Linked DNA regions of Oryzias latipes. The protein of the gene in region 1 purifies or fractionates together with the protein of each later gene. This does not show direct contact. Links are inferred from orthologs where the notes say so. Each region holds a gene or a part of one and is shown on either strand. Other genes may lie near its edges.

Region 1 (13,036 bases):
AATTCACAAAAAAAGGCGAAATTTGAATCCAAAAATGTTCTGATGGGATGAACAACAAATGTTCTTTTAAAGGAATTTGGCTTTTTTAGGCAAATAAACGGAATTTTCATCATTCAGGACCTGTCTGTGCCGGAAAACTGACAGGAAAAACAAGCCAAACCGCTGCTGGACAGAAACTAGTAAAAACCAGCTGGGATGAAGCTAAAGACTGGGAAGCAGAGATCCTGTAACCCGTTAAGCTGGTTCCAGTTTGAACCCACTGACTGTTTCTGACGCCACCTATAGAAGAATGGCTGCTGGTTCCAACCAAACGCCGTCAATTCAGGCGCCATTTTTCCGGATAGGGACGCTGACGTGGTGGAGCCAGATGTCAGTAAGCAGTGATTGGTCCGGGTCTGTCTGAGTCGTCGTTTCTATGCCAACCCCTCTCACCAATCCAGAGTGGTGTTGTTGGAGGGCCACACCCCTACCACTTGAAAGCGAGCCACACTAAATCTGTCAATCAAATGCTTTTAACATTGGCCAGCGGGCTCCACCTACTTGGTCAGTTTTTAATGTGAATAACTTGAACTACAGTTATTCTTATCAAGAAAATGTTTAGCAGCAAAATATCAGATCAAGAATGGTTACAAATAGAATGACGGAGTAACAGCTGTTTCTCTACTGAAGTCGATGGGATTTTGGCGTCTTAGTTCTAACAGGTACTTCCTGTTTGGAAATGCCAGGGAGGAGTTACTCAGTCCAGTTCCTGTATACAGTCAATAGTTGAACCTGGCTCCAGGTATTTATCAGCCGCCGTTTTGGGATAAAACTGGAAGATTACTGTAGATTGGGCTAAATCGGTTTGGATCAACATTTTAATTCTGTTCCGATGTCGTGAGTTCAAATCCAGTCATACCCAAGACTCTAAAACTGCGACTCCCTGCTCGATACTCAGCATTAAAGGGTTGGATTGGGGGTGTTAAACCACCAAATGGTTCCCGACCTCGGTTGTGTCTGGGGCTCACCGCCCCCCCAGGGAATGGGTCACATGCGGAGAACAAATGTCACACCCCCCTATTGGTGTGTGACAGCTAATGGGACTTTTACTTGAAAACTCTACAATTTCCCTACATCGGTGGGATACGCCCATCATGGTCAAACCGTGAGCTGAACGTCTGTAAGGTCGGATCGTACAGACTAAAGGGGAGGAGTCTTTGCTGCGACCACCGTGTGGCTTCAGCTCTCCTTAAATCCTGCTATTTTTTTACGTCTTTGTCAAATAAAAATTTTGATATCAGTTTGAAAACTTGTGTGAAATTCACCTTTACACTATAACCAAAGACAATATTAATCTTTAGATGACAGATTCGTTGAACTCTGAGGATTCTGTTCGAAATAAATAAATAAATAAAATGTTTTTCCAATGAAAAAGATCAGAAAATTATAAAAGCTTGGTTACAATTAACTGTTTAAGTTGTGTTAAGACACTGAATTTATGCTGTAAATATAAAAAACATAATTTACAAAACGATTTGAGTTTATAGATACATATAGGATAAATACTCATGCATAAAAAGCTAATAAAAAATTGAAATAGCCTTTTTTACAGTTATTATCACGACAAATATTTTCTTCTAAATGGGAAAGATTCAGCTGGATCCACGACTATTAAAACGTATATTTTAAGAGTTCACATTGAAAAGTAGAACAATTTTCCTGCAGTTTAAGAGTCTACAGCTTTTAGTATCTTCAAACTGTCAACAGAAAATCCCCCAAAGATCTTTGTATATAATAATGAACCAAAACACACAAGAGAAACCACACCAGTTTAAACCAACGACTCAATGCACTAAACCTTTCAAATCTACATGAACTCACAACAAATCCACCTTAAAAATATGACAGAGGTCTGCAATGTTCTTCATAGATAAACCTCAACTGTGAGGGACAGAATGTAAACAAAGAATCCAGGAAATCACAGTTTGGGATTTTTAGAGAATTTCTTTGTATAATGAAGGAGAAAATGAGGTTTTATCTCCTAAAAACAAGCAAGAAGCTGTTACTTCTTCTTTAAAAAGCACTTCTATCCTCAACTGGTTACCTGTATTAATGTCACCTGTCCGATCTGGTTATCCGAATGAAAGGCACCTGTCCACACCCACTGCAACCCTTTCCACCATGACCGACACCAAAGAGCTGTCAAAGGACACCCGGGACCAGATTATGGACCTGATCTAGACTAGGATAAACCAATCTACTATAAACAAGCAGCTCAGTGAGAAGAGATCAACTGTTGAAGCAAATATTAGAAAATGGAAGAAATACACAATCACTGGTAATCTCCCTCCACCTGGAGCTCCATGAAAGATCTCCCCTGTTCGAGAGAACAATGAGAATACAGCTCAGAACCCCTTACAGGGGACTGGTCTATGACCTGAAGTGCTGGGACCACAGTAACAAAGATTACTATAGTGACACACTCTGTCATCTTGCAGAGCTCCAAAGGACCACCTGCTGAAACCGGCATATGTCCAAGCCCATCTACAGTTCTCCAGAGACCTTCTGGGTGATCCAGAGGATGGGGACAGGGTCACTGGGTCAGAGGAAACCAACATGGAATTCTTTGGTATCAAAACCCTTTGCAGCCTTTTGGGGAAGAATGCTGAGTAGCATCTCAAAACCCCATACTCACTGTGAAGCATGGGGTGGAAAACATCATGGTTTGGGGCTGCTTTACAGGACGACTGATCTGTATCAAGGAAAGGATGAATAGGCCCCAAAAAAATCCTCCTTCCATCGGTGAGAAGATTGAAGATGAAACATGGCTAGATCTTCCAGAAGGACAATGATCCCAAACATATCACCATGGTAACAAAGGAGAGGCTACATAAAAATAATTTTAAGGTTTTGGAAGGGTTTGTGGACCTCAGGCCAATAGAGAATCTGTTAACCCCTTGATACTTACTGATCCAAATGTGAATCAAAGCACTTCTGCTCCAAACTTACTTTAATTTAGCTTGAAAGCAAAAACAAGCAAGTTCAGGCCTCAAGGAGTTAAAAGTCTGTGTTGCCCAGCAACAGACACAACTTCATAGCTCTAGAGGAGATCTGCATGGAGGAATGGACCAAAATAGCAGCTAAACCGGATAAAGCCCTACGAGAAATGTTTGACCAACCGGAATCTAATTACAAAGCATTGAGCTGAACTTTTACTATTGACTAAATACTCAAAAATTAACTCTTTAAAGTCTCAATCTGATCAACTTGATATATTTCCAAAGTGTTCCCAGTGGTCCTTTTTAAGCCCCCAAAAAACAACAACAAACTGTGGTTTTCTAGTTTCTACAGAGCAGCAGGAGTTCATTAGAAACTCGCCTCTCAGTTGTGGGCAGGACTGCTGGTGTGGGAGTAGGCCCGCCCTACCTTCCCATCATCCATATTTTGACACTCTCTCCTGCTAGCTTACAGCCCTTCACACCCCGAACCTAACATTAGCGGTGCAACAGAAACGGTGAGCAATACCGTAGCCATCCAGCCGGACAGTTTACATTCAGATTCCAGCTCAGACGAAGAAAACAAAGACGCACATGGAACTATTTGTCTGCAGGTAGATGCATCAGAATGGAGCAGAGCAGGGAGCCTACGGCTTGCCATAGTTGCTGCTACATCACACCTACAAGCTTTTTCCAACAGCATTTTTGCATCTGCTCCTGATTCACGATGGTTTGAGTAAATAAATACACAGAAATGCAATTTTAAGCTCAATTCTTTTTAGACTATGTCCTCCATCCTCTAAAAAATGAAAGAAGTTGGGAAAACAACAGTGATTCTTTGTTTACTTTCCGTCTGTACGAGTTGAAGTGTTTCTAGGATGAACCTTACAGATCAAACTCAACTTTTTAACTTGCAGTATCGCAGACAAACACTTTTTCCTCTCCTGTTTGAGACAGTAATCAACCCTGGTTATTTTTGACCACCTCCTAATGCAGACTGACACGAGGTCCACGTATTCCATACAAAGCATTTAAAGACAGGTTCAGGTAAAACCGGCCGCCATGTGAACGCCACACTGAAGAAGCACCTCTGACCCGTTTCACACACTTCACATGCAGAAACTTTTCCTTTGCAGTTTTCTGCCACCAGTCCTGAAAGCGGGTCAGGACCTCCTCACGTCAGCAGAACCTGAGGAGCGTCCCGTGCTTTCATTCTGGGACACAGACCTCTAGTGTCACTGCAGGGGGGGGGGGCCTCTATGACAGAATGGGGATTTGGCTGCATGGCAGCAGACTGAAGTGAATGGGGGGGGGGGGGGGGGGGGGGTTCATGTTAACCACTCATCACCTGCTGCCAACAGTCTGCAGGCAAACAAAGACATTTAGGAAAACACAAACTCTCTGACTCCACACAATCAGAGAAGACCCCCCAACAACAACAGCAACAGGTGACCATTGGGGTCCAGCCAGGCCTTCACTATGCACAAAGTCCACAACGCCTGGAACTCTGAAAGCAGAGGGCCGTGATGAAAATGGGGAATACTTACTGTGACACGCTTTCTTCCCATTTTGGACTCAAACCCTCAGAGAAAAATAATGTCCCTGACCTTTAAGGGGCATTAGTGGGGAGGGGCTTTTGAAATTGGGGTATATTTTTCTTCCAGTTGTGGAAAAGGGATTTTCTTTTCTTTCTTTTGGGGGGGTGTTTGACTTAAAACATTTTAGGGATGCTTTGCAGACGTTTTGGGGACTTTTTCTGGATCTAGGGCGACCCAGTTTGAACTGTGAATAAAAGGGGTCTGTTAATCTAAATAAAACATTGCAGATTAAAAAAAATATCAGTTAAAATAGTTCACAATTAACATAAAAATGTATAACTTACGGTTTTAACGAGCTACATCTCGCCATGTTAGACATGATTTTTTAAATGCGCAGTTACGTCGGCTAGCCCTAGCTTGTCAACGGATGAAGTAATTTAAACGGATATTATTAGCTTCAATGAAATCGAAAATCGTCATAATAAAAAATGCTTTTTTTAAAGAAACTTTTAAAATTGAAGCGGTAGTAACTGGGTAATACGACAAGCGTAAAGTGGACCCAAAATTCATTTCGACGACTTTAGCCGTTAGCTTAGCCTTTGTTCTGTTAGCTAGGTTAGCATGCTATCTTTAGCCGTCAAGCTAATATTGTCTTAAAAAACGCCGTTTTCATTTTTGTTTTTTCAAACACAAACGTTACCAAAAAAAATAAAATACAACGCAGGCTAAGCTAACGTAAGTTAGCATTTTCGTGTGGCAAAAGTCCGATTCTTTGTCATGACAGAATTGTGAAGAAAACTCGTGTTTTTGGTCTTTCGACTTGGGTCTTTTTTCCTTTAAAAAAAAAGGTCGCTTCGGTCGTTTGGTCGATGATTGTGAAAATGTAAATAAAATACGGGGAATAGCGTTATTCCTTGTTCTTTTGGCCTTCCAGTTGTCGCACCAACATGGCCGTTGTCTTTACCTCTGTGCTCGTTTTCCAGTTTAATCCCTTTGAGAAAAAATGCAAAACAAAAAAAAAAGAGAGAAACCCCGGGCTTTTGTGTAAAAGCTCAGGACAAATAAATAATTTCATTTAAATATGATTGTAGAATTACTCGACCTTTCGTCAGTCAGGAGACTGTTGTGTTCGTGGTAGGTAGTTGGGGAGTTTGGATGGACAGTCATGCTTTCCACAGCCATTTCCTCTAGCTACATTGAGGTGCAAAAAATTACAACTCGACACTAGAATCTACTGGCTTATGCGTCACTTCACTAGGATCTACTTGTTTTGTTGTAGGAAGAGACTCAGTTCATAGTAGGCAACTCTCCACAACAGTTGTAAGAGAAATATGCTGAAATTGAATCCTGACGTTCTCCGTCCTACTGTAGCGACGTGAATTGACGACTGATTATCTTAAAATGGCCGATCGTCTTCTCCAAAGAAATAAGGGGCGGACTTTCCGAGTCGAAGATCGTGACGTTGGCGAGTCACGAAAATAACCGAAAGACAAAGCCAGGCTGTTCGTGTGACCCGGAGTTTGTCTTGCAGGCTGAAATGAAAGCTACCAAAACAAAATAGCGCAAAAATGATAGCTTTTTGAATTTAATGCTTTTCAAGACTACACGTAGACAAATAATAAAAATAATTATATTTAAAAAACATACACTTAATTTTAAAAAGCCGGAATTAAGTGGTTTAAAATGCCAAGGAGCACTTAAAGTTTCTCCTCAAAGACCCACTGCGATGAAAATTGTGTTTTTGACATGTTTTTGTAGCGTTTTCCTCATGATAGAGGACATAAAAGGGCAGTTCTTTGTTCAAATCTTTGTGATTAGAAAGCAGACAAAAATTGGAAAACAATTTATTATGTAGATAATCCTGCTCTGCTAATTTCAGATGAATCCAGTTGCAGACAAATAGATTCATAAACATCTTTATTTTCGTTATCTGAGCTGGAATCTGGCTCAGAACTGTCTGGCTGGATAGTTTCAATATTGCTCAGCATTTTTGTTGCACCGCTTAACCTTTTTTCCAGTTTTTCAATCTATTTGTCAAATGTAAGGTTTACACGTCTTTACAACAATTTAACCAAATAGTGCTTATTTGGACAAAAATAAAGAGGTTAGTTTGTCATAAAATGTATCTCAGGTTTTAGTCATTGAGCTAAATTACTGGTATTTTCAATATTATTGATACGTTTTATATTGTGCTAGATAAAGGTTTTGATCAGTGAACTAAATGTAACTAAAACATGGTACCAAGTTGTTTCAAATTTAGCAAGACAGCGACAGGAACGATATGTCACCCTTTTCATTGGGAGTTTCCTTAAAGACAATACTGAGGGAGTTAGAACAACGTGTTCAAAGGCACACAAAGAGAGAAAGAGAGAACGAAAAATTGTTTTTTCATCAAACAGAAACATCAAAGGAGCTCGGATCAGTTTAGTTTAGCACATTTAGCAATAAAGAAATATACTTTAAATACTTCTCTGCTTTCGGAAATCAAATAATTTAAATTGGGGGACAAAAAAGAATTTTTTCAAACATATATGTTATATTAATACAAATATATACATGATATATAATATACAAATTATTGACATAAAAAATAAAGGGTTTAAAAATAATTTCAAAAAGATGACAAGTGATTATTCTTTAGAAAATAGTCTGTTGTTTGTTTAAATGACGTCATAACCCGGCGACCATTCAGCGGGACCGTCGCCGCGTTTGAATCGAACTGGTTTGGCCCCTCTTCAAAAAGCTAATATTCTCCGAAAGGGAAGACTTTCCTTGGGAAGAAATCAATCGACATGATTGAAAAAGAGGACCCGATCATCAGCGAGGAGGAAGCGGCGCAGTATGACCGCCAGATCCGTCTGTGGGGGCTGGATGCCCAGAAGAGGTGAGTTAGCTTAGCTAGCCTCGGATGCTAACGGTTCCTCCTGGGTGATTATCATTATAACTCACTTTATTGCACACTCAGATGCGGTCCATAAAAGAAGACAGAAACAACATGCAAAAATAATAAATAAATAAATAAATACATAAAAAAACAAAATTACAGTTTACACCCATTTAGAGTATAATCTGTGCCCAGTCTGTCCCCAGGGTGGAGGTGTAGCGGCGTGAGCTTCCCCTGATATCAGCATGATAATTGCATTCTTAGACTTGTCCAGGCGCCCCATGAGGCTGTCAGCTAATAATGTAGTGGTGTTTCACAGGTGGGGATGTCATGTGAGCGTCCATAAACAGCTGACTCGCTGTGTACCACCTGGGCACCCGTAGCAGAAGACCAAAAGGCATCGCTATAGGCCACTGTAGATTTACAGAATGCCCCACGTCCATAATTCCACCACCGAGGAGTGCAGTCAGCTCTGAACAACGAACGCTACACTTGAAGAGAACACTTTTTGAATTTTCTCATCAGCATATTTGACTGAGCATACAGTTTACAGTCTCTGAATGTCTCTGTCGTCCAATCATCAGTGATAAAATGTCCAAGATATTTGTTATATGAGGTTCCTTCCAGAGGCTTTCCACAAAGCTGTAAAACAGGAAAGTTTACCTTTTTGTCATCGTTGGTCTTAACAATCATTATTCTGCTTTTAGAAGGGTTGTACTTTATATCAAAGTCTCTGCCGTGGTCAGAGCAAACTTTTAAAAGTTTTTGTCTCCCCGCACTGTAAGGGCAAAAAATGACAAGGTCATCAGCGTACATAAGATGGTTAAAGGTTTGACATCCAAAAACACACCCAGGTTTGCACAGATTTCACTTCGTAGAAAGATCATCAATTTATACATTGAATAAAAATGGAGAGAGGATCCCTCCCTGTTGAACACCATTGCTTACCTAAAATGGCTCAGATAAAACGTGAAGTAAAAAATGAAGTGATGTTTTGCTCTGAGGTGCAGAAGTTCCTGCTCCTTTCTTCACCTCCTGGATCTCCTCCTAAGCCTTCTTTCCACTGAAACGCTGCAGCTCAAAGGTTCTGGTCCTGTTCTTTGCCAGAACAGCAACGCTGCATCCCTGATGTTTTTGATTTGTTAAAAATGTTCTCCAGAAATCAGAAGTTCTCCACGATCCAGACTCAGAGGAAGAAAAACTCTCTTTTTCTTTGTCTTTCCAAAAGTAATCTTCCATATTTTTCACCTTAAACCCGTTTGGGACTGGCTTTCTCCTCTGGAACCTCCTTTCAGCAGCGTCCTGTTTGTGGCTTCTGCAGGTTGCGGGGGTCCCGGGTTCTCCTGGCAGGCCTGGGTGGTCTCGGCGCTGAAGTGGCCAAGAACTTGATCCTGGCTGGAGTTAAAGGTCTGACTCTGCTGGATCATGAACAGGTAAACACAACCACACCAGCAGCTGGGAGGCTTTTCCTTAACCCCATTTGTCCACAAGAAGCAGCTCCGTGTGAAATGTTGAACTCAATAAAATCGATTATTTTATCCTTTGACCCCCAGACTGATCGAACTGGGTTTGGTTGGGTCTCAAGAGTCCAGTTTTTATCCCACGTGGATTGACTTTCTGTTTCTTTTAGGTGACAGAGGAGTCGTGTCGAGCTCAGTTCTTGGTTCCGGTGTCTGCTCGAGGTCAGAACCGAGCCCAGGCCTCGCTGGAGCGAGCCCAGAATCTCAACCCGATGGTGGAGGTGCACGCCGACCCCGGGAGGGTCGAGGACAAACCGGACGACTTCTTCCTGCAGTTTGATGCTGTGAGTGGAAACAAAAGAAGTTTATCTAAAACCAACCAATGAGTTTGAATTAATATTAAAGATTTACTGCCCACTAAAAAAAAAAAGATTCAGTTTTAAAATGAATTTTCCATTATTGTAATTCCAAGTTTGACCACTAGATGGAGCTTAAAGCCCACATTAGCATAAACACCTTCATCTTTAGGCAGCACATTCTACACAACAATGAGATCAGCTCATCTTTAAAAAAAAAACTAAAACCACAAAAAAAAGAGTATAGCATAATTTACATGAACATTTAGATAGAATACACAAAAAATGTAGGTAAAGCTATGAAAGGTCGTGTCGCACAGCCACATTTTGTGCACATTACACAGATAAAAGTTGGTCATACATGAAAATATGTAGAAAAAGGGGAAAAGTTGTGGATCTTTACGGGAAAATTTCACAGATGACTAACACTAATGAGCCACGTCAAAACCACGGAAGAAGTACGAATAAACCACGCAAAGAACCCGAAAACTAACGTTAAATCTTCAGTGTGCCCAGACATTTGTGCGACAAAAAATTTGAACGTGATATGTGCGACAAATACGAGATATAAAAGCTATGTTTTGGCCCTTGACGGACATCTGTCAGGAAACACTCATGAATTATCACGCATGGATCACGAAAGACCAAATTTTCATACGTGGAAAATGTGCAACGTGTGCGTAGTGAAAGTATTTGTACTTCTTCCACGAACCCAAACCGCCAGCGTATACACTTTCAGTTCTGTCCCAGACCCCTGCTGTGATGTATCCTATGGGACGGTTCAGAGCCCAAATGTTCATTTACGTTCGCTTAATTCCTTTTACACATGTGACGTGGGAATGTGGCCCCGTTCACGAGTTTTGGACTGGAATTTCTAAGATATTGTTTGATTTAGTAACAGAGCCTGGTCTCCGACATTGGTCATGTGGTCAGCGGCGGCGGTGCCGTTAAAATTCAGAGTTCTGGGAAGGTGAACGAACGCAGGGGCGTTTGACCCCACCCAGACATTTGTATTGTTTTGTTTTTCAGTTGGCTACATATCACAGCCCCCTTTTTTTCCCATAGTCAGCTATTATTAGGCATATCAATAAGTATACATGTGTGTCTTTATTATTTTGTTTAGACGTTGTAGAGAACCCCTGGGGGCTGCCGTCATTTTTTGGATGGTTTGAGTTATATCCTGAAATTTCTTTTGAAATAGTTCAATAAGAAAAAAAAGTGTGATCATAAAGGAAAACCCATAAAATCAAATAGATGGCGAGAACGAAAAAAAACCAACAAGAAAAGGTTAAAGATGTGATTTAATTCCGGGTTTCTTGTTGGTTTTTTGGCATTAACACGAACCTTCGGTTTGGTTTGGACGTGGCGTTCTGAACTCTCCTGTTGTGCGGAAATAGAAACCCCCCCCCACACACACACAGACACAGACACACCTTATCACAGTGTGGCAGTAAAATATTCAAATGTTCAGCAAACGTCGACCCCCGTCTGGCTGCCGTACGCTCGGCCGCAGAAGCTTATCGGCTCCACATCAGCCATAAACTCCCAACGGCGTCGGCATCCGCCGCAGGTGGAGCGTCCGGCCGCTCAGCAGCTGCTCTGCTGCCTGGACCACTCTCCAGTCAAAGGTCACCTGCAAACCTTTTGTCTGTTTGGTTTTGATGGTACGGATTCCAAACCCGTTTGGGTTTTGCATTTCCTCCAGGCAAACAAAGTGGTGGAGGCTCCTCCCTGACAGTTAAAGCCGCCTGATGGCGTCCCCGCCTCCAGATAAGCATGTTGATGTTCTTCATCGTCCTTCAGAACTGACTCCATCAAAGCAGTTTGAAGAGTCTCAGATTCTACCAAAGGAGAGAAATCGGAAAAAAAGTGAAAAAGTTTCCAGATTCTAGTAAAGAAATGTCTTTTATCCTGCTTTTCTTGAGCTTTTCAGGGTAAACGTTTCCCATGTGAATGATAGTATATTATCTTTGGCTCACTACAGAAAGATTTTTTATGAAATGAGTTCTTTTCACAGCTCGTTTAAGTAAGACGACTCGATCTCTGAGGCTCTGCCTTTCTCTCCTTGTGGGTGCCGCCCGTTTCGTGGCGTTATCCTAGAGTCGGCCCTGCCCATTTCATGACATCATCCTAGAGTCGGCCTCGCCCATTTCATGACATCATCCTAGAGTCGGCCTCGCCCATTTCATGCCGTCATCCTAGAGGCGGCCCCGCCCATTTCATGCCGTCATCCTATAGTCGGCCCCGCCCATTTCATGACGTCATCCTAGAGGCGGCCTCGGCAGCAGCGTTTCTCCAACAAAACTAAACGACATCTAAACTTTGCAAGGATAGATGTGAATATTGAGCTTATAAAAGTGTTTAGGCGATCACCGCTAGCTCCACTGAGAAAGTGGGCGTGTCTTTTAGCCTGGGGTATATTGATTTTCCTGCATCCTGTAGCTTTTTCCCGCGTTTGTGGACAGATTTACAAAAAAACCATATTTCTGCTTCCTGTCGCTTTACTTTGAAGGCCAGATTCTAATGAGCGCCCTTTTAATTTTTCCCCCAGGTGTGTCTGACAGGTTGCTCCCGAGACCTGATGGTTCGGGTCGACCAGCTCTGTTCTCAGCACCGCATCAAGGTTTTCTGTGGAGATGTGTACGGTTACTACGGTTACATGTTCTGCAACCTGGGCCAGGAGTACAGCTACGTGGAGTGAGTGGGCGGGCTCTTTCGAGGCGACGTTTACCTTTTGTTTGTTTTGTTTTACAGGTTCAGAAAACTGTTCCAGACCCTTAATTCTTCTGGAATGAAAGCAAGATTTCCATAAACAGACAAAATCAACATTTTTTGGCTTTTGTGCAGCAAAAATGCACAAATGTTCCACACTTTTCAAGAGAAATTTCCATTCTAATCATAAGTTCAGAGGAGAACGCATCTCCTGTGTTTTTTAGTTCCTCTTTCAGGGGGTTTTCTATAAAAACTTAGCAGCTTTTTTTTTTTTTTATTTCAGAGAGAAACCTAAAGTGGTGAAACCGTCAGGAGATTCCAGCGATGGTCCAGGAGCGAAGAAAGCCAAAGTCGATCCCAACGAGACCACCATGGTGAAGAAGGTAGAGCTTGTGGCTCCAGCTTGCCCTTTCCGGCGCCTCCGTCTGTTTTTGAGGATCTTTGAGTCAAGCATCTTCTAAAACTTTCTGTCCCGCCAGACGGCCAGTTTCTGCACCCTGAAGGAGGCTCTGGAGGTGGACTGGACGACTGAAAAGGCCAAAGCGGCTCTGAAGAAAACCCCGGTGGACTATTTCCTGCTTCATGGTGCGTAGAGGTCATTCCTTCTGGCTTTACCCCTCTGCCCTGAGGTCACATGACCTACAGGAAACCATTCAACCTTTTTCCTCACGGTGTCACAGAGTTCTGGCCGAAAACAAACTTCAATTAGTAATTTCTCCTCCACCATCAATTTTCAAATGGTTGGCACTTCCATGAGTTAAAACAGACCGGTCAATTTTGACCGGGAACACTAAAGTAGGGGGCTGAATGCGAACACGACCGGAGGGTTAAAGGAGGCGTAACCCTCACGCCGTGCCAAATCCCAGCCCCTGATTGGTGAAAGTTCAACCGCTTTAACTTTCAACGCGCGTTCATTGGCCGCACGTTTTCTACATAGAGGCCGAAAACGTAGACGTCTGAAATGCACGTTTGCATAAACTTTTCATTGGAAGCAGATGCTTGAACACGCGTTGCCAGTGGTGGTGTGAACGTAGCTTAGACGCTGCTGATTGTTGACTTCCACGTTGAAGCCCATTCCAAAACAAAAGTAACTGGAGCCAGTTCACTTTGA
Region 2 (12,990 bases), on another chromosome or scaffold:
AACTAGGTATATGGCTCACTAAGTGAAATCAACCCAACAACTTGTATATCTTAAAAACAGATTTCTTTTTTTTCTCCTTTTTTTAATGGACCGTGAGAGTCCAACTTGCTCAAATCCAAGCCCCAGCAGACAGCATCTTTACAATAAACCTTTTAAACTGGGACAGGAGGTTATTAGTTACTAGATTACGGAATAAATGACCAGAACTGGAGGTGATCTGGATGTAGTTTATGTACACGGGCAGAGAAGTAACGGGGGCCATGATGAAAATATCATACAGCAGTTTTGTGTAGCAGAGAAATTAAACCTTCTGCGTGGAATTCTGTCGGCACAACTGAGAGTCGCAGAGAGCCAGCTGCTGGGTGGCGTGGCATGCTGGCGAAGTTGAAGAGGAGGCTGGCAGCATGTGTGGCTGATTAAATCCGGCCCCCCGTCTGCTGTTGAAACACATCAATTGTATCTTCATCTTCCATTTCCAACTGTTGATAAAAGGGGACAAAGTGTCATACATACAGACATACCTTTCAGACATTTAAATACATCTAATCTTTAAAATAAGAGGGGAAATTCTCTACAATAAAGGGGGCAAAAAAAAGCAAATGTCATCATGTTCCATTCATGTGGAATGTGACCTTGGGCTGACACTCTGCCCCCTGGGCATATCAAACCCCAAAGCTGCATCAGAAATGACAGTGCGGGATGTTTTTATGACTACAGCATGCACACAGATTTGCCTTGAACAGCAAAAATACCACTTTAACCTCAAACAACAATGGTGTGGTTACAATAATACAATCATAGAAGTTAATTCAGTGCATGTGCGTTGGCCGTCGTAACAAACTCTACAAGTGGATAAAGGTTTCCGTCAGACATCTGAATGTAGATGATAAATCCTCTCTGCCTGTGGCAGAACAAGTTTCCCATGGAAGCGCTATTATCTGGCATCAAGACATCAAGCACGGCAAGCTGCTGCTTGAGGATATGAAATACCTGCATGGCCAACAAGTTTATTCATTTACACTTCAATATTCGGAGGGTTTTCTGTTTGCTCTAAACTGCAGTGAAGTTCTAGCCCAGAAAGCAAAAAAAAAATAAATAAAAAAATGGAATAAAAACCAAAAAATAAAAGAAGTAAATGGCCTGGTTTTCGTTAGAAATCAAAGAGTTTCTTAACCAAAATGTGAGTGTTATCTTGTTCTGGTTGCATTACTAAGAGAAAAATAATAAAAGAAATAAAATGAAAATAGGTAATAACAGAATCACATCATGGGTCTTAAACAAAAGAAGCCTAAAACATATGTGCTCATTTCTACAGAGATTCATGGCTTATTGATCAAACCCAACAAAAGAACCTCATGAATGTTTTAAACCTAATACATTAATTTAGAGGCTGCATTGATTTAGTCAGACCAGCTTTGGAACAAGAACTAAAAACTAAGGAAGTCCCGATCCGATTCAGAGTCATTTGATTTTGAGTATGTACCGATACCGAGGCCTGATCCGATATTATTGTAACACATAAAAAATGATCAAATGTAATGAAGTCAGGTTATCACAGATTTTTACTTTATTCACTTTCTTTAATTATTTAACACTTAAACAATTTGCCGCTGTGAAATAACTCAAAGAATCAAGCAAAAGTCGTAAAACTTTCAACTACAAAGAACAGTTAACTATAAACTAGTAAAAAATAGGAAATAATTATTCATGGGAGAAAGTTTGGTGACTGTAGCTTTAGTATCCTCAGAATTATTGAACATTTTTGGTTCTTATGTGATTCATACTTGCATTAAAAAGTCATTAAAATTAATGATGACTGTCTTTTAAAATTGTTGTTGTAACATAAATATTTATGAATAGCTCATATCAATGTAACCATTTATCAGTTTTAGTTTTTTTTAAATGGATTTCTTTTTTTTTTTCATTTTTAAATAACTTTTTCCCAGAGCTTTCACCTTTCACTGCCGACTTTCTGTCAGCAGCACGGAGAGAGCAATTCTCATTAAAAAGTAACCAAAGCTCGATCCCTTTTCTTTTTAAACGCCTTTCTAAGTTGTTGTTTGAGTTGAGACAATGACACTCGCTGTCAGTTTAAAGTGCTCATTTAAGAATTATTGAGCCTGAAGGTCCAAATCTGTGAATATCTTGCTAACCTTCTCAAACTGTCTTTCAGCGCCTCCTAGCCTCATTGTCTGCTGCACTTTATGGCAGTAAAACGTTGGGATCCGGTCAGAATTTGAAGACATCTGGTAAAGTGTTTATCTGTAAAGTTAAGATTGAAATATATAATAATGATAAAATAAATATCCGAGTCCTGATCTGATCGCAACATCGGATTCCAATCGAGTTTGAAACTACGTGATCACATCGGGACACCCCTGCTAAAAAAGATGAAAGAAATATTGTTCAGCCAATTCATCAAGATTTGCCTAATTTATGTTGCAAGTATTTAGCATAAATAGATAGATATAGCTAGCTAGCCTACAAATCTACTCAACAAGCTATTTATCTACCTATCCATTACTTTTATCTTCATCCACCCATATAAAGGATTTTTGTTATAACACGTTTTTGGGATAAACTCCACTGGCAGCAGGTTTTGCATATCATCAGTCCTACCTGTGCAGGTGTGTCTGTCTCATTTATTGGCTGTCCGTCGAATCTGAACCTTATTTGCCTCATTGAAAGTCCCTGCAAAGACAATACTTATTAATTTGTAGCAAAAGGCCTGCTTTCCGTTAGAGTGACTGGAACACATTTCCTGTTCATATACATAAAAAAAGCAAAAATTGTGTGGTTCTATTAAAAAAAACAATACATGTAATAAATGTATTTATTCATAGTTAATATACTAATTAATATGTATAATGTCACATGTTATGTATTATTAGCACAGACGTGAGACACTGAAGGAAAGACTGTTTTCCTACAACAGGTCAGAGTTGATTCACATTACACTGACAAACACACACATGCTGTGTCATACAGAGAAAATCAAGCTGTAGATTAAACAATAATTCAGGCTTTCAACTATTAGAACCTCATTTAACTTATAGGTTACATTTTCAGTGAGTAGAGAGAATCCCAGATCCTAAAGGGATAAGATAAGGAGTTTTTTGTTATTATTTAGAAAGATGTGAAAAGATGTAAACATTTCATGGTAATCGAGTTATAATCCTGAAAAACAACAGCGTTTATGAACCCGTTCAAAAAAAACAAAGCAAAAAAAAAAAACTGCTGCGGCGTTTACAAGCCAATACAAGAGCTACGAGCAATATTTTATATTTGGGTTCAGTTAGCTCTAACTTTTTTATAACTCAATTAATAATTCAATGAAACACACACATATATAACATAGTATAAAAGAAAGTAACAAAAGTCTCACATAAGATAATAAAAATGTAGAATGCATCATCAAATTAATATTTATTATAAATAAATACCTGACCTGCTTTAAATTCACAGACTTCCTAATTTTAAAACCCATTTGTATCTAAGCGATCATAAGTTGTTGTTTTTTTTTCCACAATACTTTTGCTTATATAGGGATATAAAAACATATTCCTTGGGTAATACAAAGTTTAAATGATCTAACTACTTTTTAACGAACCTTTACTTTTTGTATAAGCGTTGTGATTATGATAGTTTTCCTGAATCGCCACCGTTTTGTGTGTTTGTTGTCTAATAGGGGATTATACTTACCTGTCTCTCACAATATGCCTTCATAAGTTTGATGAGCGGTGTGTGTCTTTTGATCTTGAACTGCACGACAGATCCATCCTGACCTGCTACCTTTAGATTTATGTGTTCGTTATTTTCAGTCTTCACTCCTTCCTACAAAAAGAAATAAATAAATAAAGAAATAAATAAATAAATATTGTAACGGTTTAAGAAACAACAAACAGGACAGGTCATTTTAGACACAAATAACAGTGGTTCCTTGCATAACAAATACCCCACACACAAAAAACTATCTGCCTTGGATGCCTGCATGCCTCGCAAAACAAATTAACATCACGTAACGAAGCCTGTTTGCAGCGAACAATTGATTTTCTGGGGGAAAAGGCCAAATCCAGACAGTTGTGTGCCGTGTCATTCAGATGAAGACTGTTACCCTTCGGTGCAAGGCTCGGTACAGTGCTTAAAAGCCGCCAATCATCCCCATCTCCTGGTTAGGTTATTGAAAACAAACAGACTGGACGCCAGTGTGATGGCAAACCTGGGCATGTTTGTTTTTTCCTCTGTTACACAATGCAGGCCAGAGCCTCTGGTTGTGATAAATGGTACAGACCGTCCTCTGGGCAGGACCACTATGGCAACAGCAGCCAGTCGCACCAAAACTACATCGCATGTGGGATCATAATCGCCCACTTACTTGTTGGTGGCAGGTTCCCATGAAAACCACAAACACGTGTAAATAAAACCATAAAGGTGGTGCAGCAGGCATTAAGAAGATAAAGCATGTTTGCCCCCATTTGGTTTGGTTTCTTCTGGTTTTTCTTTCTTGAATATTCTTTTTTTTAATACTATTTTTCTTTAAATTTGTAGAACGGATGACATGATTTTCCAAAGTCGATGTGAAATCTGGCAATGTGTGCAACATCGCCACAAAAAAGAGGAATAATGTAGGGAAATAAAATTTCCAGCTCCATCAAAAGAGCGCCGACAGGTGAGACGGACTCTCCTTGAGTGGCCTAATATTGAGTGGAGAATAGGTCTGTTCTTTAGCTTCAACAGGTTGAAGTTTCTTAGTCACCCTGGCTGGAAGAACTTAGCCAAAGTCTGTTTCTCCTCCATTTTTGAGTATGTTCCTGAAATGACCATGACCTTCAACAAATTCACTAGTCTGTAGACTTCAGTTTGGTTGGGGTGCCACTGAATGGACGTCTTGGTCCTACTTCTTAAGTGTGTTCTTGATGGTGATGGAAGGAATTGACCTTTTGCTCTTCTCATCTTCTGAGGAGAGTCATCCCCTTCTGTTTTTCCTTAATGGGTTTGTGTCCAGGAGGTCTTTTCTCCTCCTTGGTGATGCAAGTTGGGTCACTTCTTCCAGAAGAGGCCATTTTTGCTTCAGTTGAAAAGCTGATGAGGGCTGTGGCCTTCTTCCCAAACTAACACCTGAAATTCTCCTGCAAACCTCTCAGCAGCAGCTTTGTCGGTCCTAGCTACCTCTCCGTGCAAGGCCACTCAAACAGCCTTGGATTCTTCTTCTTCTGTTTTAGCTCCTTCTGCATTTGTACTTCTTTATTTCTTCATACCCTGACTTTCTCGCAGATGAGCTCTGCCTCCGTCTGCCTCTCATCTTCATCTCTGAATAGTTTTCTGACCTCGTTGCTGTTCCCCCGTGGTCATACAGTTCGGCAGGACGCACCTTGAACGTCAGGTGCAGCTCGATGGTTTCTTTCTTTGTTTCAATGCTCAGAGCTTTTCTGACCATTAACACACCTATTGATAGGAACCATTTTTCTTGGGGTTCAACATTCAAAATTTAGAGACTAAGAAAAAAAATTAAGAAGACCTGTCCTCCAATTAAGAAGACCTTTAACTTAAGGAAACACGATCCAAGACACACAACAAGTCACACCTATGTACCTGGATTTAACCATTCTGTTGTACCAGAAAAAAGTTAATTTAATTTATTTATTTACAAAAAAGGTTCGTTTTGTGAGGCAAGTGGGTTGCAATGTTTATCATGCAGATTGTTTGTTCTATAGTTCTTTATGTTTGTCAGAGTGGAAAAATAAAAAGATAAAATACCAGAATTACCAGGGATAGAAACATAATTGTAGGCCGTATGAAAAACAGATGCTAAAAAACACGTATTCATTGTTAAATATTAGTTTCAAGTATTTGAATATTTTATTTTTGGTATCCAGTTGTTATAACCCGTTTTCTTCAACGAGTCAAGCCAAAGTGTTGCAGACTGACTAGAACAGTTTAGTCTAGAGACTAAATACAAACAGTTCGTTTTCTTGTTTATTTTTTCCATTCTGGTGCGTCATTACAAAACACAGACAACTTAATTACCACACAAACACAACGCAAGAAAACCGCAAGATTTATAGAGAACGACACCAGCTGGTTGGCGGGATGTAATCAGCCTAAAAGCGACGTGCGCGCCAGTCCATGCGCGCTCACATACCTTCCGGTCCATCAAAGTAGGTACAGTTGAATCTTATCACTTAACTTTTTTATTTAAAAAAATACGAACAGCACACGCGGGAATGTAAATTCACCTTTAAGATCGGCGATCCAGTTAATTTGTAATAGCATCGTAATTGACAATGGGGTCACTTACCTTTGGTTTTTCATCAGCCATCGTCACTCTTTTGGCGCTTCTCTATGCTACCACACAAAGAATATGAGTGCGCGCACGTACTCGTTCCCGTTTAAATTATTCGGGGAAACGTGCGCGGGCATGTGTCAATGCGCGTTCACTGAACAAGGATTTAATTGGCCGCATGAAGTCACGTGGACTAAAGCGCAGTCTAGTTATGGGCGGGAGACTACCGCCTGCGCGTTACAGAGATACTCGGCTTCACATGCACGCGCACGGCAGAATTTTTCCCTTTTGTTTTTGGTTTAGGTCTATTATATACGAAGGAAATCTGTTCATCGTCACGCCGAAGACTAGTATCAGTGCTGCACGTTTCATAAAGCGCCCATATGATCGGTATTAGATGTACAGCGTGATATATTAGTACTCTCCTTATTTTAACCCCTCATTATAGCCCAGTGGCCATCTTGGTTTTTCTTTCTTTTTTTGTTACAATAAAAAACAGGCACCGACTAAACGACAACATTTACCGATATGGCGATATATTTTCTAAGATAGCTAACTTATATAACGTTTTAATGTATATTAACAATATGATACGATTGTATCTTCCTGATTCTGAGAATATGTTACACGTTTTCGGAATAAAATTACTTCGACTTTTAAATGTATATCGATTCTAAAGATAGTGTTATTTGCTTCAGTCATGTCAGTTTTCTTGACGTAGATTAAAAGTAAAAGAAAGTACTGTACTTGCAAATTTAAAAAAACAAAAAACAAAACAGGCATTAAGTAGGACAGTCCTACATTTGACGCATGCGCGAGATAGTCGTAGAAAAAGAGAGGCGCGCAAGCGTTGCTATATTATAGCACGTGTTAAATGGCATGATTAAGGTGAAAAAGTTCATAGTTTGAAATTTAAAAGGATCTAAAAAGTTTCATCCGATGGAGGAGGTAGACGTTGAACCGACGATAACCGTAAGTCTTTCGTACTATGTAGTTTATTGTTATGCGCTATCGAATAGCAGCTAACAAGTTAGCTAAGCATTTTGAATTTTGTAAATCCTAAAATTCGGAATAAAAAAATACACTAGTAGTTAATGATACAAACACAAAAGTTTATGATGAAATGTTACGGACCGACATTACGAGTTGGAGGTTTCGTAGCTAAAACAATGTCACAGTTGACATGTTCTTGGATATAAAGAAACAAACTTGGAACAATGGTTAGAAAATCAAAATGTAACGTTATTTTTGTCTTCTACGTTTTGTTAAGTTATTTTGTGCTTTGTCAAACAAAGAAAGGTAAGTCTTTTCCTGGACATTTTTGAGTCCAGTCTCTGTCTTAATGTCAAGGTAAATAAATATCCTGTTGCATGTGTCCAATGGATTAAAACTAAGAAAGGCAAAAGAAAACCATAAGAGTGTTGGTTGTAACATTGCAACTAATAGGCAATAAATCGAATGTTGTTTGAAAGCCAGGACATTTTAAAATGATTTTATTTTATTTAAGCTTTGTTTAATAGGGACAGTGCACATTAATGAACATCTACCAAACAATGATTATAGGCGTAAACATGCTGGATTATAGCAATGATGCTAATTTGCATCCCTAGTCCCTAGGCAGGAAACATAAAACAGGACAAAACAAAAGACACAGTCACAGATACAATAAGAACACAAGAAAGTGGTACATTATGAGAGTTAAAAGTCAGTGGTTACAGGACTGGTTTGCTTTCAGCCACTGCTTGAGCTGTGTTTTGAAGGTCTGTAATTATTGACACTCCCTTATGTACAATGGAAGACTGTTCAAGAGTTTACTGGCCTTTACAGAAAGAGCGTTTTGTCCAAAGGCTGTTTTTCTGTGTGGAACCTCACAGTCCCCTCGAGACGAGGCCCTAGTCCTGAGAGCGCTGTGAGACCTTATTTAAAAAAAGTCAGACATGGGAGGCGGAGCAAGTCCATGTAACACCTTGTACATCAAACAAGCGAATTTAAAATTTTTAAAATTCTCAAAGCTCAACAACTTGTACTTTTTCAAGATATTACAAACATGGAATGACATTGGTTTTCTATCTAAGACCTTAAGTGATTGTTTTATAAAGTGATTCTATGGTTTTGCTCGTATTTACACCCGGCAAGGACCAACATGTAATACAGTATTCAATATGTGATAGAATCATTGAATGCAAAAACATTCTAGCAGCTCCAAGTGAATTTTTTTAATATGGCTCTTGAAGCTCAGAGTTGAATCAAGTGTCACACCAAGATACTTAAATTTAGATAGAATTTCTAGTTCCCGTTCTTCCAAAAATATACCTGAATGCTTGATGTCCACTGGTTGCTTAGTGAACATCATACAAACAGTTTTAGTTGTATTTAACAGTAAGCAAGATTTAGAAAGCCATTCATTTACAGGAACCAGAGCTGAGGTAAGAATAGAGGCTGCTTCTTGAATATTTTTTGCGCTAGTGAATATGACAGCATCATCAGCATACATTTGAAATTCAACATTACCACATGTGTTTGGCAGATCATTAATATACATAGAAAACAATAAAGGCCCAAGTATTGATCCCTGTGGTAGACCAACAGGGACATCTAAGAGAGTTGATTTGACACTGTTAATACAATCACACTGTTTTCTGAATTCTGGATATGATTTTATCCACTGAATTGAGTCCATAGAAAAGTTAGACAAAAGAATCTCATGATTCACCGTGTCAAATGCCTTATGATTGTAAAGAACGTACTTTTGCAGGATTTTCAGTAGATATTGATTGAAAGTCTTTTTTTTAAATATAAGGAAACAAAACTTAGTTAGATTGAATCCCAAAAAGCTTTGCTACAAGATAGAAATGGTCAAATAAGCACTTTAGTGATGTTCAATAATGTTCTATTGAATGTTGCAGAGATTATTACAATTGGAAATCTGTGTTATCACTCTCAATACAGAATATTCCTGCACTCAGAAGAGGAAAGCATATGGGCTTTGCATGGGGTCAAGGTAATATCTTTGTCTATGAGACCCTCTTCAAAGCAACAGGTATGTGTTAATTTCAGTTTCAATACTTTCGCAAGTCTTCTTGCTTTGTTTCCTTTCTATTGTCTTGTGTTTCAGGTGCAACAGGATCTGGTTCCCCCTTCATCCATGAAGTCCGGAAAGATGAAGACATCTACTCTCCTATTTTGCGCAAACTCTTTAACGAGTCGCATCACATTTTTGTTGGCTTGCAAACAATCAGGGAGGATCTGCCCAGCAAGAACAAGAAACCTCAGTAAGTCTCCTGATGAGAGACCGCTCAGCTTACACAAATAATTAGTTTTTATTGACATTTTCTTTTTAATTTTTTGATCAGTGGGATGACATAAAGATTGAAAAAGAAAACAGGCAAAACATCAACATGTAACTATTTCATGTCAAACAGTGTTAAAGTAAAAAAAAAAAACAATTCCTGTTTTGCTCTATAGGTTTGTCAGCATCAGTAAAAACTATAGATCTGTTATTCGAGCCTGTATGGAGGAGCTGCAGCAAGTTGCAGGTTAGCTTCTTTAAACTGAATCATGAAGTGTATCTTCGAATCCTACAGTGTAGTTTTTTATAATGGCATGTACTTTTTTGTTTGCAGTTTCCACAAAAAACGCAGAGATGTCCGTACAGTATGGAAACCAGGCACGTGTTTTTATTCTTTAGTTTCATCTTTTCCTTTTTAGAAATTGTGATTAGTTTAATTTTTTAACTTATTAACGTATAATAGTTTTTTTCCTCTTCTTTTTAATCTTTTTACTATTCGTAATATTTTTTTGTTTCCTCGGATGTGGATTTTAGTGGTCTGTAATAAATACAATTCAAATAATTTTGTGTATAATTTGTTCTTAGGAATTAAAAAATGTGTATTTTTTTTAATGATTTTTAAATCAACCAAGCAGACGTCGACTAGTTTTGATGTTATTTCAAACTGCATTTGTGAGATCTTATTATACTAGAAATGTCTTCTGTATGATCTTGAAACAAACTCTTATTCATGTCGGAGCTTGTTTATTTTGGATTTTTGCTTGTCGGTACAAATATAAATCATTACTGATCTTTTTTGTGGGTAAAGCTGTCATTGTGCCATTATAATATGTTTTAAATGACATATTTTTGTTGCATTTTAAATAGTCAGAGCTCATCTGTATTTTAACCCTTGACTCATCAGTAACATTTCTCTTAAATATTATTTAGTTCCTAATCCAGTCTGTTTTGTTGCAGGTCTCCATTCTTTTAGCTATAGAACTGATCTGGAATCTGTGTGAAGTCCTTTTCATCGATGCTGCTCCTGGTTAGAATCTCAGTTTTTAGTTAACAACAAAATATCTTTTATTATAACTAAACAAAGGCAAGGCTCCATAAAAACCCATTCATGATTGATGTGTGTTTTGCATGCTTTCAGCCGGCTCGCTCCTGCTTCACCTCCTGGACTGGGTGAGGCTGCACAAGGCTGACGTAGACGAAAAGGCTCGAGACGTGCTGCAGAGTGACAGCCCTGCTGAGCATCGAGACTACTGGGATGTGGTTAGTGCGGGACATGCACACACACGATCCGCCTCCACTGGAGATCTCTGAGAGTTTCGTTGTGCTGTGCAGGTGGTGAGTTATGTGCTGCAGGGCAGGTTGGACGAAGCCAGACAGATGCTGGGGAAAAAGGCCACCCTAACGCCTGCTGCAAACAACATCTACAAGATGATGGATAACTTACTCAGCAAGATGCCTTTTTACAATGTAAGTACAATGGGAGTTATCTGGTTTTAGTCTGTGGGTTAAGAATGACTTATGGTCATTTACCTGCCATAAAGGTTAAATCTAAGTTGTGGCCTCCTTAAGAGGAGTTTGCACGACGACTCCTGCATCAGTTTCTTTCTCTGTTTTGGCTGAGGGACTGGTGACCTGCCTTTAAATGTGTTCAAACACATAACGAACCAAACAATTTCAAAATGTCCATTTTCATCCTCACATGTATGTCTTCAGCCTGGTGGCACACAGACACTGACAGAGTTTGACGTTAAGTGGAGGCACTGGCATGAAGAGGTAGACCGCTGCTTGCAGGACAACTCTTTTGCTAGCAACCAACATCTGGAGGTCATCTGCAAGGTCAGTCCATCCGTTACTACTTTTTATGCTATCGTGTATTTTCAAAATGCTAACATTGTTGGTACTAATGTAGGCTTTTCCTAAAAATACGCCCGTTTCTGTTAACAGTTTTAATCACTTCAATTCTTGCTAAATCCCAATGGGCTGATATGATGCATGCTCAAATTATGAAGCTATCGCCGCCATGCTTCACTGTAGGCAATTTCTGGGATATTAAATGTGTGTTTTAATTTCTAATCTGGCACCAAAATACATTTTAGTCATTTAGCAGCACCAGATTAATAAATTGGTGCAAATGTTTCAACTATATGATATAAAATGTTTCAATAATTTCTGTTCTTTATTTTTTAGATCCTCCTGGGTGATGAAGACACTTTACTGGAGCACAAAGACCTCCTGGGAACCTGGTATCACTTCCTTGTCTCAAGACTGCTGTTCTGTCATCCCACTGTAAAGCCCACTGAGTTGCACTACTATGCACAGGTGAACTATTCTACAAAACTTGCACTCATGTCTGCTGCATCCAGATATTAAGTGTACCTGTGTGTTTTGCAGTCGTGTATGACCATGTTTCTGGACTCAAGGAGCGCACCAGAACCTCTGGACAGCATCTTGCTGGCTGCCTTTGAGTTTGACATCCATCAAGTTATTAAGGACTGCAGGTGCAACAATGGGACTGATGCATGCAAGTACACTTATTTTAAATCTACTTTAAACATTCAATTTCTTCCTTTTGCCTCAGCATCGCTCTCAACAACTGGTGGTTTGTGGCTCATCTGACAGACCTGCTGGATCACTGCAAACTCCTCCAGTCTCACAATCTACAGTAAGAACCCTGTGTGCAGATTTAGTTTTTTAGTCTGGAGGTTAGGACTTCTTTTATTCAGTGTTTTTCTGTGTTTTTGCAGCTTTGGTTCCAATTTAAGAGAATTCCTCCTGTTGGAATATGCCTCTGGCCTCTTCACTCATCACAGGTTGGTTTGTTTTTTAAGTCCTCCTTTTAATTATTTGAATTTTTCTGTGAAGGTTTTCCCTTAAAGGATGTCTTTTTGTTTGTCTGTTGATCAGTCTGTGGCAGTTGGCTGTGGATTACTTCGATCACTGCCTCGAGTTTGGTCGTGTCTACCTTGAGCTCCAGATTGAGCGCGTTCCCTTAGACACGGAGCGGAAAGCACTGAAGGTCCTCCGCATTTGTGAACAGAGGCAGATGTCGGAGCAAGGTTCTAAAAGACTCTTTATTCTGTAATCACCTTGGTTCCAGAAATACCATTCAAGTTGAACTTTCTTTCGTTGAGTTTGGCATTTGAAATGTGTTTTTTGTTTGTGATCCAGTACGGAGTATCTGTAAAATCATGGCCATGAGGGCCTTAAGAAACAACAGACTTGGCTCCGCCCTTTCCTGGAGCATCAGAGCCAAAGATGCAGCGTTTGCCACCCTCATCTCTGAAAGGTTGGCTTCTCTTTACAATCTGCACCTTTGTCTTTGATCATTGTTCTGTACATTTAACTTTTAGCTTCACCAGACGTCCAGAAATGGACGTTTTTCTGAGCCGCAGAGTTATTCAAGTTTTCCCTCCTTTTT

Evidence for each region.
Region 2: the proteins of sae1 (region 1) and sumo2 purify together in Homo sapiens (affinity purification with mass spectrometry; 3 studies listed by BioGRID and IntAct, with this or other methods). This does not show direct contact. The link is inferred for Oryzias latipes from reciprocal best matches to the Homo sapiens genes SAE1 and SUMO2.

Annotation. Positions count from the first base shown.
Region 1 is NC_019871.2:4,085,286-4,098,321, reverse strand, and holds the start of sae1 (SUMO-activating enzyme subunit 1), read left to right. Parts: upstream 1-7,164; 5' UTR 7,165-7,305; coding exon 7,306-7,397; intron 7,398-8,718; coding exon 8,719-8,830; intron 8,831-9,027; coding exon 9,028-9,201; intron 9,202-11,764; coding exon 11,765-11,910; intron 11,911-12,208; coding exon 12,209-12,308; intron 12,309-12,404; coding exon 12,405-12,510; intron 12,511-13,036. Other genes in the region: zc3h4 (zinc finger CCCH domain-containing protein 4), read right to left, coding at 5,616-5,695. UniProt on the Homo sapiens protein: The heterodimer acts as an E1 ligase for SUMO1, SUMO2, SUMO3, and probably SUMO4. It mediates ATP-dependent activation of SUMO proteins followed by formation of a thioester bond between a SUMO protein and a conserved active site cysteine residue on UBA2/SAE2.
Region 2 is NC_019866.2:13,017,217-13,030,206, reverse strand, and holds sumo2 (small ubiquitin-related modifier 2), read right to left. Parts: upstream 6,338-12,990; 5' UTR 6,320-6,337; coding exon 6,299-6,319; intron 3,835-6,298; coding exon 3,703-3,834; intron 2,692-3,702; coding exon 2,620-2,691; intron 480-2,619; coding exon 417-479; 3' UTR 400-416; downstream 1-399. Other genes in the region: nuclear pore complex protein Nup85, read left to right, coding at 7,223-7,255, 9,233-9,323, 9,399-9,555, 9,749-9,819, 9,907-9,950, 10,530-10,599, 10,711-10,832, 10,905-11,039 and 7 more. UniProt on the Homo sapiens protein: Ubiquitin-like protein that can be covalently attached to proteins as a monomer or as a lysine-linked polymer.